Astyanax mexicanus: one gene and its partner. The protein of the gene in region 2 purifies or fractionates together with the protein of the main gene of each other region. This does not show direct contact. Links are inferred from orthologs where the notes say so. Each region holds a gene or a part of one and is shown on either strand. Other genes may lie near its edges.

Region 1 (7,442 bases), on a different chromosome or scaffold from region 2:
AGGATGGGGAATAATGTGGAGAGGGTTCAATTACACAGAGATAATCACTCATATTCTGTATCTCTGTTTCTTTTGTTCTTCTTTTATTCTATCTCTCTGTGCCGTCACAGACCACAAAGCATGTCTGTTCCATTCCCCAGATCAGCAGCAGAACTGGAAAAAGGAGACAGACCTGTTCAGGGACAGAACGTATTAAAGAAAAAAAAGGGTCTCTGAGTTTATGACCTGACTAAATGAGAAAGTGCAGAATGGAAAAAGAGAAATAGTGGAGGCCAGAGGGTGGTGGAGGAGGTGATGTGGGACGTTTCAGAGCGTTCAGAATCCAGAAGCTCTCCACGCATCACTTCAAGAACACAGTGTACTACAAGGATGGTTTAAAGGTATAGAGAGTTAAATGGATTATTAGGGAGTTTATAACAGCAATAAATTGTTCAGTGTGTGACCTCAAGATGCCCGTTAACGTTTTTAACACAGCGTGGACTCAAGCTGCATTGACTCTACAGGTTTGTGTAAAAAAAGGTCAGTTACTAGGACATCGCCTGTTCGAATCCTGTTTATGTAGCTTGCTATCGGCTGCCGGAGACCTAAGATTTTGATAACGGCAACATACATCATAATTCTAGACCACTTGGGTTGGCCCATTCATAGTTCGTCCTAAAATGTTCATCGAAGGTAAAAAGTAAAGGTAAAAATTGGTGGTGTGATGAGGTTTTGATAAGACAGCAGTGACACGTATATTTGTGAAGCTCTCTGTATAATGTAATGTCTCTATCACTCTCTGAATAAGGCAATCTAACAAAGTCATTTTAGGAAAGTGCTCAGCGCTGAGTGTCCCTGTAGAGAATCTTCTGGCCTCATGTAAAATTCATGCATTCAAATTGAGGCAGTAATATAAAATGCAATAACTTTCCATCCCTTCACAAAAATATGTAAAAATATTTGTCTGAGTCCAGAATAACCTCAGAGCGAAGAGCAATCTCAGAGACGCGTCCAATTTTAGCCAAACCCCAAAATATTCATTAAACCTTGATGACTGTCATTTTGGTGTTGGGTTTATTCATTGTCTGCATGCCTCATCAAACACTACAAACTACAATATCTCTCTCTTTCTCTCTCTCTCTCTCTCTCTCTCTCTCTCTCTCGCTCTCTCTCTCTCTCTCTCTATCTATCTCTTGCTAGCAGAGCAGAGCAGGTATTGTCTGTAGTGGTGGGTTGTTCTCAGCACTGCAGATTGGACACTGGTATGATGGTGGTTTTAGTAGTGTGTGTTGTGCTGGTACAAGTGTTCAGACACAGCAATGCTGCTGGAGTTTTTAAACACCATTTGTTTTTAAATGCCATGCACAATTTCAGAAATGCTATGTTCAATACATCTGGCCTTCAGAACACGACCTTGCTCAACTCAAATTCCATTCTATCTATCTATCTATCTATCTATCTATCTATCTATCTATCTATCTATCTATCTATCTATCTATCTATCTATCTATCTATCTGTCTGTTTGTCTGTCTGTCTGTCTGTCTGTCTGACTACACTGCAAAAAACTAAATCTTAGCAAGTGAAAATTTCTAAATTTAAGGCAATAAAACTTATTTTCTTCTCTGATAAGACTTTTTGTCTTACTAAGTGTTAGATTATTTTGCTTATTTTATATTTATCTATCTATCTATCATATAATAGACATGATTGTGTCATTCCTTACATTGTCAGTCTGCACACATTAAAGACTCCAACTCCCAGCATGCACTTACACCTTCCGGACTCTGCTGATCATATGATGCTACAGTGTTCTAACTCGCCAAGCTTCTGATTACACACATCTGGACCTGTTAATATAATTACCTTTATGTTTTTGTTCCTTGTTGCCTGGTATTGCATTTATTTCCTAGCTCTTTTACCTTGCATTTCATTTGTTTCATTGTATGACCCATTTTGCCTGCTCTCTCCCTGGTATATTGTTTACTATTGCTGCCACTTTGTTACTGTCCCTGCCATTCTAGTCTTTGAGATTAGCTTGTGTATCTGTTTCTTGATACTGTGTAAAAAATTACCCTGCTATCCTTGTGCAAGTCAATTTTCCCATTCCACTGGAAAATTAATCCAGCATAAAGACATACTTTGTAGTAAAAAAAAGGTAACTTACTCTTCTGCCCTACAACTCTGTGACCAAGCAGTCAACCATTAAAAAAATTAAATATACTGTAACTGACTACCCCAATACATACTCAAATATGTGTGTTCTCTATCCAAATAAATTGTTAATTTTATAAAACACAATAAAATTATGTAACACAGATTTTACTCCAAATTCCTCTTTCAGTTGCTTATTCAACTATTTTGTGTAAATGTTACACAATTAACAACCCTATGAATATATTTTTTTACAGTGTAGCTTTTTGGCCAAATGCTATCCCTAATGCTATCGCTATAACAAGTAGGCAACATTAAGAAATTGTCCAGAGAGAATAAGTGGGCATCTCCCACGCCAGCCATCATTCTGCCCTGCTTTCTGGCCAGCCAATCACAGCAGCTGATAACAACCTCCCACAGACCGAGAAAAATGGAGACGGACAGAGAGGAGAGTGAAAGAGACAGAGAGAGACAGAGAGAGAGACAGAGTTTGTCCCAGGAGACTGAGCTTCCTCTCTATGCATAGTGTATTACAACAGTATTAGCATTAGCAAACACAGCAGTCCTACACTACAGGGTGGGCTGTGCACCTCCAGCAACCCAGCGTGATGCACCTCCCTCCTTAGATCATTCCTACTGGAGCCCAGCAGCAAACTCAACCCCCCTCCGTACCCTCCCAGCCAGCCCATGCACAAACAAACACACACACACTTGCAGATCCGAACTTCCGAACATCCGAAATCCAGACACAACATCTATAACAGCTAAAAGATCCGGTACAGTAAGAGAAGCAGCAGCCGAGCACAAGCACGCTGTAGGCTGTAGGCCCGAGGCACCTTCTTGTTCCCCTACCTGCGTGATCTCGGTCGCACGTGAGCTCTTGGCCTACATCCAGACACATCCACGCGCAGCTCTGTGAACATCACAGGCTCCTCTTCACACACTGCGTGAAGCTCAGCTCGCCTCACGCTCTCTGGGGCTATAATTGGATCGTGGCTCAGTCGTGCAGAGGAACCCACCGTCTTGAAAGGAGGCTCTTTTTTCTTTTATTATTTGAAAACATGCATTCTCAGGGTATGTTCCAGTTTGGAGGCACGCCCTCGCCGGCGGTGGCCCGCTTTCACGTTTCACGATCCAAGATCGGTGTGTTTTTTCAGTTTTTTTGGTGCTTGGCTGCGGGTGATAAAAAGGTGTTGAGCCATCTGCTCTGGAGGAGGCGCACTCTGCAAAAATAACTCAAAAAAAAATGACTTGATGATTTAGTTTCCCTAAAGAAAATTTAAAAACTTTATATTGACAGACTACTATTTACTGCCACATTCCATCTATCTAGGAACTACAGGGGTTGAACAATGAAACTGAAACACCTGTCACACCTTTTAGTGTGGGAGGTTTCAGGGCTAAATTAGACCAGCCTGGTGGCCAATCTTCATTAATTGCACATTACTGCACCAGTAAGAGCAGAGTGTGAAGGTTCAATTAGCAGGGTAAGAGCACAGTTTTGCTCAAAATATTGCAATGCACACAACATTATGGGTGGCATACTAGACTTCAAAAGAGAACAAATTGTTGGTGCACGTCTTGCTGGAGCATCTGTGACCATGACAGCAAGTCTTTGTGATGTATCAAGAGCCACGGTATCCAGGGTAATGTCAGCATACCACCAAGAAGGACCAACCACATCCAACAGGATTAACTGTGGACGCAAGAGGAAGCTGTCTGAAAGGGATGTTTGAGTGCTAACTCGGATTGTATCCAAAAAACATTAAAATAAAAACACGGCTGCCCAAATCACGGCAGAATTCAATTTCCACCAGAACTGTCCGTCGGGACAATAAATGATTGTGGTCTAAAACCAGGTGTTTCAGTTTCATTGTCCAACCTGTACACCATGTTCCAAATTATTATGCAAATTGGATTTAAGTGTGACAAAGATTTTTTTTTTGTTTCTCAATTAAACCCATGGATGGTATTGTGTCTCACGGCTCTTTGGATCACTGAAATCAATCTCAGACACCTGTGATAATTAGATAATTAGTTAGCCAGGTGAGCCCAATTTAAGGAACACTACTTAAGAAGGATTCCACATTATTATTTTTATTAAGCAGGCCACAGGTTTTAAGCAACATGGGAAAGATAAGGGATCTCTCTGCTGCCAAAAAGCATCAAATAGTGCAATGCCTTGGACAAGGTATGAAAACATTAGTTTTTCACGTAAACTTAAGCGTGATTATCGTACTTTGAAAAGATTTGTGGCTGATTCAGAGCACAGACGGGTTCGTGCAGATAAAGGCAAAATGAGGAAGGTTTCTGCCAGACAAGTTCATTGGATTAAGAGAGAAGCTGCTGATGCCTCTGGAGTCCCACGAACCTCAAGGTGTAGGATCCTTCAAAGGCTTGCTGTGGTGCATAAACCTAGAAGCTAGAAACATATTAGAAACTAAAAAACGCTGCCCTGATCTGTGGGATATGCATATAGGGCATATGGTCCTGCTCTAACCTGCAACCCATCTCAGCCACCCACACTTGAGAAGATGGGATTAATTGCTCATGGTACAGTATGAGCAGTCAATTACAAATACCTACCGAAGGCTGGAATGGAAATAACCTTTTTATACAAACTTGGTATAGCATCATCATTGGATTCTTTTTTAGTTGATCCAAGTTTCACTCTATAGAAGTCCGAGCACCAGCTTAGAGAGTCTGTCAATGTCTGTGTAGAAATGCACTGTGGAGTTCAAAGTGGAATGAATAGAACTCGAGAGAGAGTTATCCAGTTAGTGTTATGAAAAGGCTTTTTTGCTGCTTCACCTAGTGGGCATGTTAGTTTTACACATTCTACAAGCATTCTTTCTTTTTAAAAGATTGATGAAGCAGAAGCAGTGTACCAAATGAAGCACAACATTGGCTCAAATGAGTGTATGCATCCATGAGCATGCTTGGTAGTTTAATTTAGTGCCCTATTTTAGCGATCTAAAGGTGAGCCGTCAACTGTGCACCATGCAGCTTGATTAAGGACGTGTCAGTGTTTCTTTGCTATCATAACGTTGGGAAAAGTACTCCTTGCACGGCTCGAAACACTCAAAAGACATGTATTAATTATCTCAATTAATCGTGGGTGTGTTTTGGGTGTAATGTGGAACAAACCAATCAGTGTCTCACTTACTATTTTCTTTAAGAGCCAGGTATGCTCTGACTTTGGTGGATTGCTATTTTAAAGGTGGAGCTACCTTGACGTGTCCAGCATGTCTAAGCAGAGGAAACTGATTTACTCGCTCATGCTCTAAAGGTGCGTGAGTAGGTCATTAATGGGAACAGCAATATATATTTTTTGGATTCTGTTTATTGTTGGTGTAAAAGTTGGGTTTGTGCACTGATGCATGTCCTTGTGTGTGTGTGTGTGTGTGTGTAATGTGCAGGGGTGTACAAGCATTGTGCAAGCACAGTGCACCTGTTGCCAAGATAACAATGAAAGTCGTACTGTTTACGTTTATCTGACATTTTTTTCTGTCACTGGGGTACCTGTGTTTTCTATTGCCAAGATAGCAATACGCAAGACATTTAACTAAACACACCTTATTTTGGGACCACCACACCTATCTGCATAGATATATATTTACTAGCTCCATTGCTATTTATACTGTTGGCAGGGTGTAAGATAGCAAGAAGCAGTAGGTTGAAAGATAGGGCCCAAAGAAGCCTCCCATAGAGCTGCTGTATCTCTTAACCTAAAAACCTCAGAATTGCCTAATTAGAGGAATTCTGGCCAATCACATATTTTTTTATAAACCAGACAATACTAATACATAGTCAATCAATTTACATTTAATTTTAAATTAAAATTATCATTTAGAAAATTGCTAATAATTCTCCACACAAGGCTTTTGGTGCTTCACATCAATGTCACTGCGTGTCTCTGTTAGCTTAATTAGTTCTGAATTAAACTACGCTTCAATAATAACACAAAATAAGGTTGGAATGATCGGTTCATTTATTTTACAATGGGTCAGAGCCACCTCGGTTCCAATTCACTCTGAAGACAAGATTTGGTCAGGCTGTTATATAACACAGAATGATTCAGATTCACTGAGGCTTAGAAATAATTTTAAAGGTGGTCTGAAGTGGGTCTTTTCAAGCTGTGCTTTTTTCCGTAATTTCATTTGCACTGCAGGTCACAAGAACTCAATAAGCTCCTTCTGCAATTGCTAGAACATTCAGATCCAGTCTGCAGCACAGTTCAGGGAAAAAATATGAGTATGCTCTGAACCTCTTAACACCTCGGAAGATCCTAAAGTAGCTAATTAATTGAAAGGATGAATCACTGACAGGATTGAATGACTTAAGGTGTTGTAAACTCTACAGTGACGTTCATCTCAACAGCAGTCTCACCTTAGAATCGACAGCATGGAACAATTTCAAACATGGGAAAGTGAATCACTACATGGACATGGCTTCCGAAAATAGCAAACTAATTAATAAACTAGTTAAAGGTCTCCTTCTGCTAAAATCCACCTTTTTCTTGTTCTTTGTGAAATACAAAAGGTCTCTCTGAGTTGTATATGAATGCTGCGCTTGAAACTGTTCTTGTGAACACCACCAGCGAAGTACAATTGAGACAGATAGGTGTATGTTTAAAACAGTTCTGCTTAAAATAAACTAGTTAAAATAAAATCCACCCCAGGGGTTTGTTCCAACTGACTGGGTGGCTCTGCTGCGGCTCAGCCAACCCTGGGGTGGATTTTTACTTTTTGAACTTGGACTACCCACCTCTGTGTAAATAACTATGTTTACATAGGATCTCCGGTGGATTTGCCGTTTTACAGAGACTCTAAGACTAGGTCAGTGGCTGAACTGCACTTAGCAGGGCATTACACATGTTGTAAAGTAACATATGACGTTGCAAAGACTGTTATTAGTGTAAAAATGTCTTTATTTTAAAACGTTTTAACTGTTGTCCGTCTCACTGCCTCGCAGTGCTGTTACCCAATCAGAGGCGATATGTTAGTATGAATTTGAATGAATATTCATGAGCAAGAGCCACAATCCTGTTAAGTGTTATACCGGATCACTGGAGCACTTTTTTTCACAAAAAAACAGCTTACATTGCTTTCATTTACATAAGAGACGACAACTAGACATTTTAAAATTAAGGACAAAACGATGGAATGAGACCTTTAAAGCAGAAGTTCTTAAGAATCTTAAGATTTCTTTTCTTTTACACTGAAAGCAGAAGAATTCTTAAGCTATGATGAGACAGAATATTCTAATTAATGATATCAGTGTCCTAAAACAAACATCCCTCCAATTTCTA
Region 2 (7,005 bases):
ACGGAGCAGGTGATATTTTGGGTGGTGGGTCATTATTCTCAGCCCTGCAGTGACACTGACATGGTGGTGGTTTATGAGGTGTTAGTGTGTGTTGTTCTCGTATGAGTGGATGGGACACAGCAGTGCTGCTGGAGTTTTTAAACACCTCAATGTCAGTGCTTTACTGAAAATAGTCCACCAACCAGAAATATCCAGCCAACAGCATCCTGTGGGCAGTGTCTCTGACTTTACATTTACAAGGTGGAGCAGCTAGATAGGAGTGTATAATAGAGTGGACAGTGACACAGTGGGTACATTGTTTAAAAACTCCAGCAGCACTGCTGTGTTTGATCTACTTGTACTGTATCAGCACAACACACAGAGTAACTAACACACCACCACCATGTCAGTATCAGTGCAGTGATGAGAAGGATTCACCATCCAAATGATACCTGCACTAGGGTGATGCTGTGGGGTCTTGAGCATTGAAGAACAGGGTGAAAGAAGAATAATAAAATATGCAGAGAAACAGATACAGGACTACAGTCTGTAATTATAGAACTATATGAAACAGATTACCATATTTTTCACGCTATAAGGCGCACAGGATTATAAGGCACACTATCAACAAACGTCTATTTTTCTGGTCTATTTTAATACATAAATTGCACTGGATTATAAGGCGCATTTAAAGAGACACTATAAGGAACTTCTAATTCAGCAGGTCTCGCCACTGTGTGGTGGTGGCGGGTAGCTAACTAAGTTAAGTAAAGCTAAGCTAAGTAAACAAAACTGTCAAACAAGCACTGGATGTTAATCTACACACATTCCTCTCCTGAAAACTGTTTATTTGGGTGAGTAAAGTGCTTCTGTTTATTTACAGTGAGCTTAGATTCCCAAATTTTTCAAGTACTAAGGCTGGAGCCTTAGCATTAACAGCTAACTGCTAGTGGTTAGCGACTAATGCCGCCTGAGCTACACTGACGAACCCTGAGTGTTCCGGGTAATAGCCAGGGCAATATCACCTAGAACACCTAAAACAGTTCGTCCCACGTACCCTGTTTTAACACGGTAGACAACGCACAAACAACAGTCCAATATACTAACCTTTGAACAATGAAATAGCTAGCACAGATAGCAGCTAATGCCAATACTGCTCTAGCAGTGCAAGCCAGGGTTGGCAGCAGGCTACAGGCTGATAATACTCACCTCTGCACAGGGAAATAGCAGCTAATGCTAATGCTACTGTTCAACCACTGGTGGAAAGTTGTATGCAGTAAAATGTACTACATACACTTGTAATGTAGTTACAGTTGTCTATCTTTTTGTTGTCATGGGATGACCAATGATCCAGATATGTGTGTATGAAATATACAAAAAAAAACAATTCTGGATATGGCAGTCTGTCTGATTATTTATCTACTAATTATATGTCTGTCATTTCAGTATGTACTTTACAGAAAGTATTTATTCTGAAGTGTTGTTTTAGTGTTTTTTTTAGTCTACAATTCTAAAATGTCTATAAACGATGGCAATTTTTTAAAATTGAAATTAAATTCACAGTTTACTTTATCACTTTTAACACCCTGACCTTTATCTCATATGTGTTAAAATAAACAACAGGGGGATTTTAGAAGTGGCTATAGTTATTTTTATTTTTAAACAGTAACCCAGAGCATGCTGCTCATTTTAATGCCTCAGCTCTTGTGGTCACTCAGCCCTGATCAGAAGTGAAAGCACCAATATAGACTTGCTTAGAAGTCAGGTATATTTCTGCTCTATGTGTTCCACTCTCTACCTCAATGTGCTCACTTCTGCATCTGAGCGTGAAATGAGCGTTTAGAGAGCGAGCGTCCGATACCATGCTGTGCCTTTCGTTTCCCATTCTCATATTGGTGGTATGGAGCTTTAAAAGGGAAAAAATCTACCATAGTACACTTCTGTGCATATATTAACCATTTGAAATCAACCTTAAATAAATCAATTACTTTATTTTATATTTTATTTTAGTTTATTAATTTTTATTTAAACACATCTTAGTTGTGGTGTATATATACAGCTCTGGGAAAAAAATTAGACCACTTAAAAAAGATGAGTTTCTTTTATTTTACCAAATTAAAAACATCTGGAGTATAATTAAGAGGAAGATGGATTATCACAAGCCATCAAACCAAGCTGAACTTCTTGAATTTTTTCACCAGGAGTGGCATAAAATTATCCAAAAGCAGTGTGTAAGACTGTTGGAGGAGAACATGCCAAGATGCATGAAAACTGATCAAGGTAAAAATGTTATCCATAGCTTATAGAATAAAACAAAAACAATAGTAAACAGTAGTAACAGTAGGTGCAGGATTTATTATTTTTTGCATTATGTTTCTTTAATATTTAAACAAACAAAAAAAAACTAAATAAAGTTTGCTTGGCTTAAATAACTAACTTCTTTCATAACCTTCTAATCATTTACTCAGCATTTTCATTTGATTGTATGTATTTCTCGTGGGAACTGTCTTTTATAGTTTTGGAAATGTAACAGGGTGTGTGTTAACAAATGGACAATAATAGAATACAAAAGTAAATAAAAAAACAGCTTAAAGAGAAAATTCTAAGATTGTTTAGCAAGGTTTTGAAAAGGTTCCAGGAAGGTTAGAGAAATTATTTTCTAGAAAAGGTCTGAAAACGTGTGACCAAAATAATGGTTTGCATCACAATGTTATTAGAACATTTATCATATAATGTTCCAAGCTAGATGGAAACCTTACTAAAAGTAGCATTGCCAAAGCTTAAAATTAAAACATTGACAGTGTTGTTTCAGCAACGTTACCAGAACGTTTAAAAATGTTATAAGAACATCCAAAATACTTGACAGATAAAATGTTTAAAGAATGTTAACTAAAATGTTCAGAAAATGTTCTACTAACCAAAAAAAAAAACATTGTTAGCTTAAATGAACACTTTAGAGATCTGTTTTATGTGTGGATTAAATAATGTGTTAACAATGATTATATATTACGTCATACAGGAAGAGGATGTTAAATAAAGTCTAAAATATAAACTCTTGTGTTGTTAAATGTTATGTTTTATACATTAAATTCACCAATGAAAATATTCATTTTACTTTAATGTGAGTTTTAATTAAACACATTTTGGTTGTTGTGTATTTATATACAGCTCTGGAAAAAAAATAGAGACCACTTAAAAATAATGACCAAATTGAAAGCATCTGGAATATAATCAAGAGGAAGATGGATGATCACAAGCCATCAAACCAAGCTAAACTGCTTGACTTTTTGCACCAGGAATGACATAAGGTTATCTAAAAGCAGGGTGTAAGACTGGTGGAGGAGAACATGCCAAGATACATGAAAACTGTGATTAAAAAACAGCGTTATCCAGTGTTATAGTTTATAGAATAAAACCAAATTATATACATAAATAAAGTGGTGCAGGCAGTTTTTATTTCATGTGAGATTCAATTTAACACATTTTAGTTGTTGTGTATTTATATACAGCTCTGGAAAAAAATTTTAGACCACTTAAAAATTGGGATCATCACAAGCCAACAAACCAATCTGGACTGCTTGAATTTTTGCACCAGGAGTGACATAAAGTTATGTAAAAGCAGTGTGTAAGACTGGTGGAGGAGAACATGCCAAAATGCATGAGAACTGAGATTAAAAACCAGGGTTATCCGTAGTTATATATAGTTTATAGGATAAAACCATATTGTTAATAAATAAATAAAGTTGTGCAGACAGTTTCTAATAATCCTCCAGAGGATGACCCTCCATCTTTCTTCATGAATGAATGCTAAAGCAGTGGATTGTGCAAGTCAGGACAACACTACATGCAACAGCTGGAAACTCCTAGATATAAAGAGAGAGAAAAAGAAAGAGAATTTAGTAGACGTACAGACAGATGGACAGAAAGACAGACGAGCATAGAGGCAAGAGGAACTTCCCACACTTCCCACATTATGTCAAGCTTGGTTGCAGCATACTTACAATCAGCACCTCCTGTCCGGCAGTTCCTGTCAGAGCAGTTCACGCAGCGTTAGTGGAGTAGCCGAGGCTGAGATGAGTCTGCCGACCAGGGAGCAGTTTGAGGACTGGGGTCCGGCTCAGGTGGCCCTTTTCCTGACTCAGGTAAGAGATCAGAGAAGTGGTCTTTAGGATTTCTCCTCAGGAACTGTGCTGAACATTCTGCAGCATTTTCAACACAATCTCTATCTGACACATCTGTAACACGCAGTCAGATAACATAGGGACTGTACTTTCCTTTACTAAAAACACACTTAATAAACTAACAGAAGATACTTAACCATATAATATACTCTTATTTAAGTGTGTTAACAACTGTCCTGACCTTTAACTATACGCAAAATTAGTGGTTATAGAAAGTCAAGCTTGTTTCCCTTTCACAGATGAGAGAACAGATAAGCACATTGAGCACAGCCCGAGCTTTCACCACACGTGAACTGCATTTTAAATATGGTGTGTGCATGTGTGTGAGTGTGTGTGTGGTTTAAGAACTGTTACAGAGGTGCAATATTATTTATATTTTTCGAACAGAACAAGATGCGAGAGTGTGCTTTAACAGTACAGAGGATGAAGATTGATGGCCGCTGGTTTCTGGTAAGAAGAAATAAATGACTACATGGTGCTAAATGGGGCTAATTAAGCTTTCTAACACTTTACAATAAGACTACATTACTTAACAGTTATGTACTGTACTTACAACAGAATGTCTCATCTAGGCATTAATTGACACTAGTTGAGACAGTATTAATAATAGTAACAATTTAATGAACTCAATATTTATATAAAACATAAGCAGTTAAATTATATTGTAATGAACATATTAAAAAATATGTTAACTAATGTCAGTTAATAATAAAAAAATGTTTATTACCGTCCTATATACCTTTACTGAGAAGTGTTAACATGCTATGTGTACGTATCTTATCAAATAATACGATTTATACTATCTAACCTGAAATAATCTGAGTTGTCCACCCCCCCCTCCCCACTCACTCACAAGTCTCCACAAGTGCCCAAACACAACATAGTACATATTTACTTGATTAATATCAGTATAATCTACACTTAAATATCATCTGGGCAATTAAATCCCCTGGTTTTGTTGTTTTTGTCATTTTGGAGCATCAGACAGAGCAGGAAGCTGATAAGTGTGTTTGAATCAGAGCTGCAGTTTGGAGTCAGGTGAAGAGAAGCTGCTCTGCACTGAATTTGAGAGCTTAATTTTTTTAAGATAAAAGGCTTGAGCCCAGTAACAGCGAATCTTCTTCTTCTTCCTCCTCGTATTTAGTCCCACTCGAGGGTGGGGTCCGTGTGTTTGGATGCTCGTCATCATTTTGTTCGATGCAGGGCGCTTTCAAGGGCGACGCATGCGTATTACATGTCTTCTCTTATCTGGTCCATCCACCACTTCTTTGGCCGTCCGCAAGGCCTCTTACCTTGCAGGCTTATGTGCGGGGCCCATTCATGATGAATTTTTGAATTTTTGCACCATGAGTGGCCTAAATTTATCCAAAAGCAGAGTGTAAGACTGGTGGAGGAGAACATGCTAAGAAGGTCTGAAAGCTCTGCATCTGTTGTGTTAATATCAGCCATTTCTCATTTTCTGCAAATAAATGCTCTAAATGACAATATTTTTATTTGTAATTTGGGAGAAATGTTGTCTGTAGTTTATAGAATGAAACAACAATGTTCATTTTACTCAAACATATACCTATAAATAGCAAAATCAGAGAAACTGATTCAGAAACTGAAGTGATCTCTTTTTCTTTTTAAGAGGAGTATATATATATATATATGGTCAAATTCATGCAAATATCTATTTTCTGTTTACATACATTTCAAATGAAGACTTTTGTTCGTAAATAGTATTTATGCATCTAATGTCTATCTTTGCACTTTTGTCCTCTGTTCTGGAGAACTTGTACTGTACAACCCAGTATGAGTATAATACCGATAAAGTTTAATTTAATTAAACAGCAATACAGCGGTGTAAAATACCAGACTGGACTTTCATTTAAAGAACACTCACAAAAGATCATGCATGCTAACGTGGTTAACAATCAATATAAGACATGCAGTACTAATTGGGATTTGCTACTTTTCCATTTCCCTGAACCAAATGAACAAAAACCCAGAGTTTCTGCTACAGATGTGCTGGAACTATGATAGAGTAGAAATGGGGACTGACTGGTCCCTGAGGACTTGACTACACTTGTCTACTCCATTACATTTTGTAAGATGAATTCAATTTTCCTGCACTACATTTCCCCTAAGGGGTGTAGTTACATTTTAGAAAAATGGCAATACCTTGCTCCCAATCCCTTTAGATTAATATATAAAGCTTACCCACAGTACACACACTGTTTGTACTCTGTGTTGTTATTCAGTCAGTGCCTTTATCAGGCCTCGGCAGGTTAAAATTACACAACAGAACAGAAACGGATCACGGAGGTTTAGCTAAATGTTTCATTTTCAGTTTGTTTCTTTATAAAATATCAAAGTTTGATTTTTTTTTATCAACAGAAAAAAACAAGATCTGCTACCAATTCCTAATTAATCTTGTCACCAGCTAATCTTACCTCAACTTCAGTCTCTTTAATGTTCAAAGGATTATGAAAGATGAAAGTGTTCGTTAGCAGGGAAGTCACTGATAGATCATTACAGGTGATGAGAATTAAAAAAAGATAAAAGTTGTGAAAAAGTAAAAAAAAGAGTGTGATTAGGGAAGTGAGATGACAGAATAATGGCACTTCCTCTGCTAGGAAATGTGTAACACATGGGCTTTTATGATGAAGTCACTAAAACACCCTGTCATAACCCTTTCCTGCGATAAACGCTTTACCATAAAATCTGTCTGATTTATTCAAATGTGAACTGGTCAGTTGGTTTGGTCAGACATGCAAATTAGGCTGAGAATGCAGCACAACACAAAAAGTGAAATTAGGGAAGTGCTTGGTCTATGAGGTGAAATGACTTAATTCAGATTTAA

The links.
Region 1: the proteins of blnk (region 2) and syk purify together in Homo sapiens (affinity purification with western blotting; 3 studies listed by BioGRID and IntAct, with this or other methods). This does not show direct contact. The link is inferred for Astyanax mexicanus from reciprocal best matches to the Homo sapiens genes BLNK and SYK.

Annotation. Positions count from the first base shown.
Region 1 is NC_064427.1:26,190,950-26,198,391, reverse strand, and holds the start of syk (tyrosine-protein kinase SYK), read right to left. Parts: upstream 3,008-7,442; 5' UTR 2,984-3,007; intron 1-2,983. UniProt on the Homo sapiens protein: Non-receptor tyrosine kinase which mediates signal transduction downstream of a variety of transmembrane receptors including classical immunoreceptors like the B-cell receptor (BCR).
Region 2 is NC_064414.1:41,074,820-41,081,824, forward strand, and holds the start of blnk (B-cell linker protein), read left to right. Parts: upstream 1-3,991; 5' UTR 3,992-4,052; coding exon 4,053-4,121; intron 4,122-4,547; coding exon 4,548-4,610; intron 4,611-7,005. UniProt on the Homo sapiens protein: Functions as a central linker protein, downstream of the B-cell receptor (BCR), bridging the SYK kinase to a multitude of signaling pathways and regulating biological outcomes of B-cell function and development.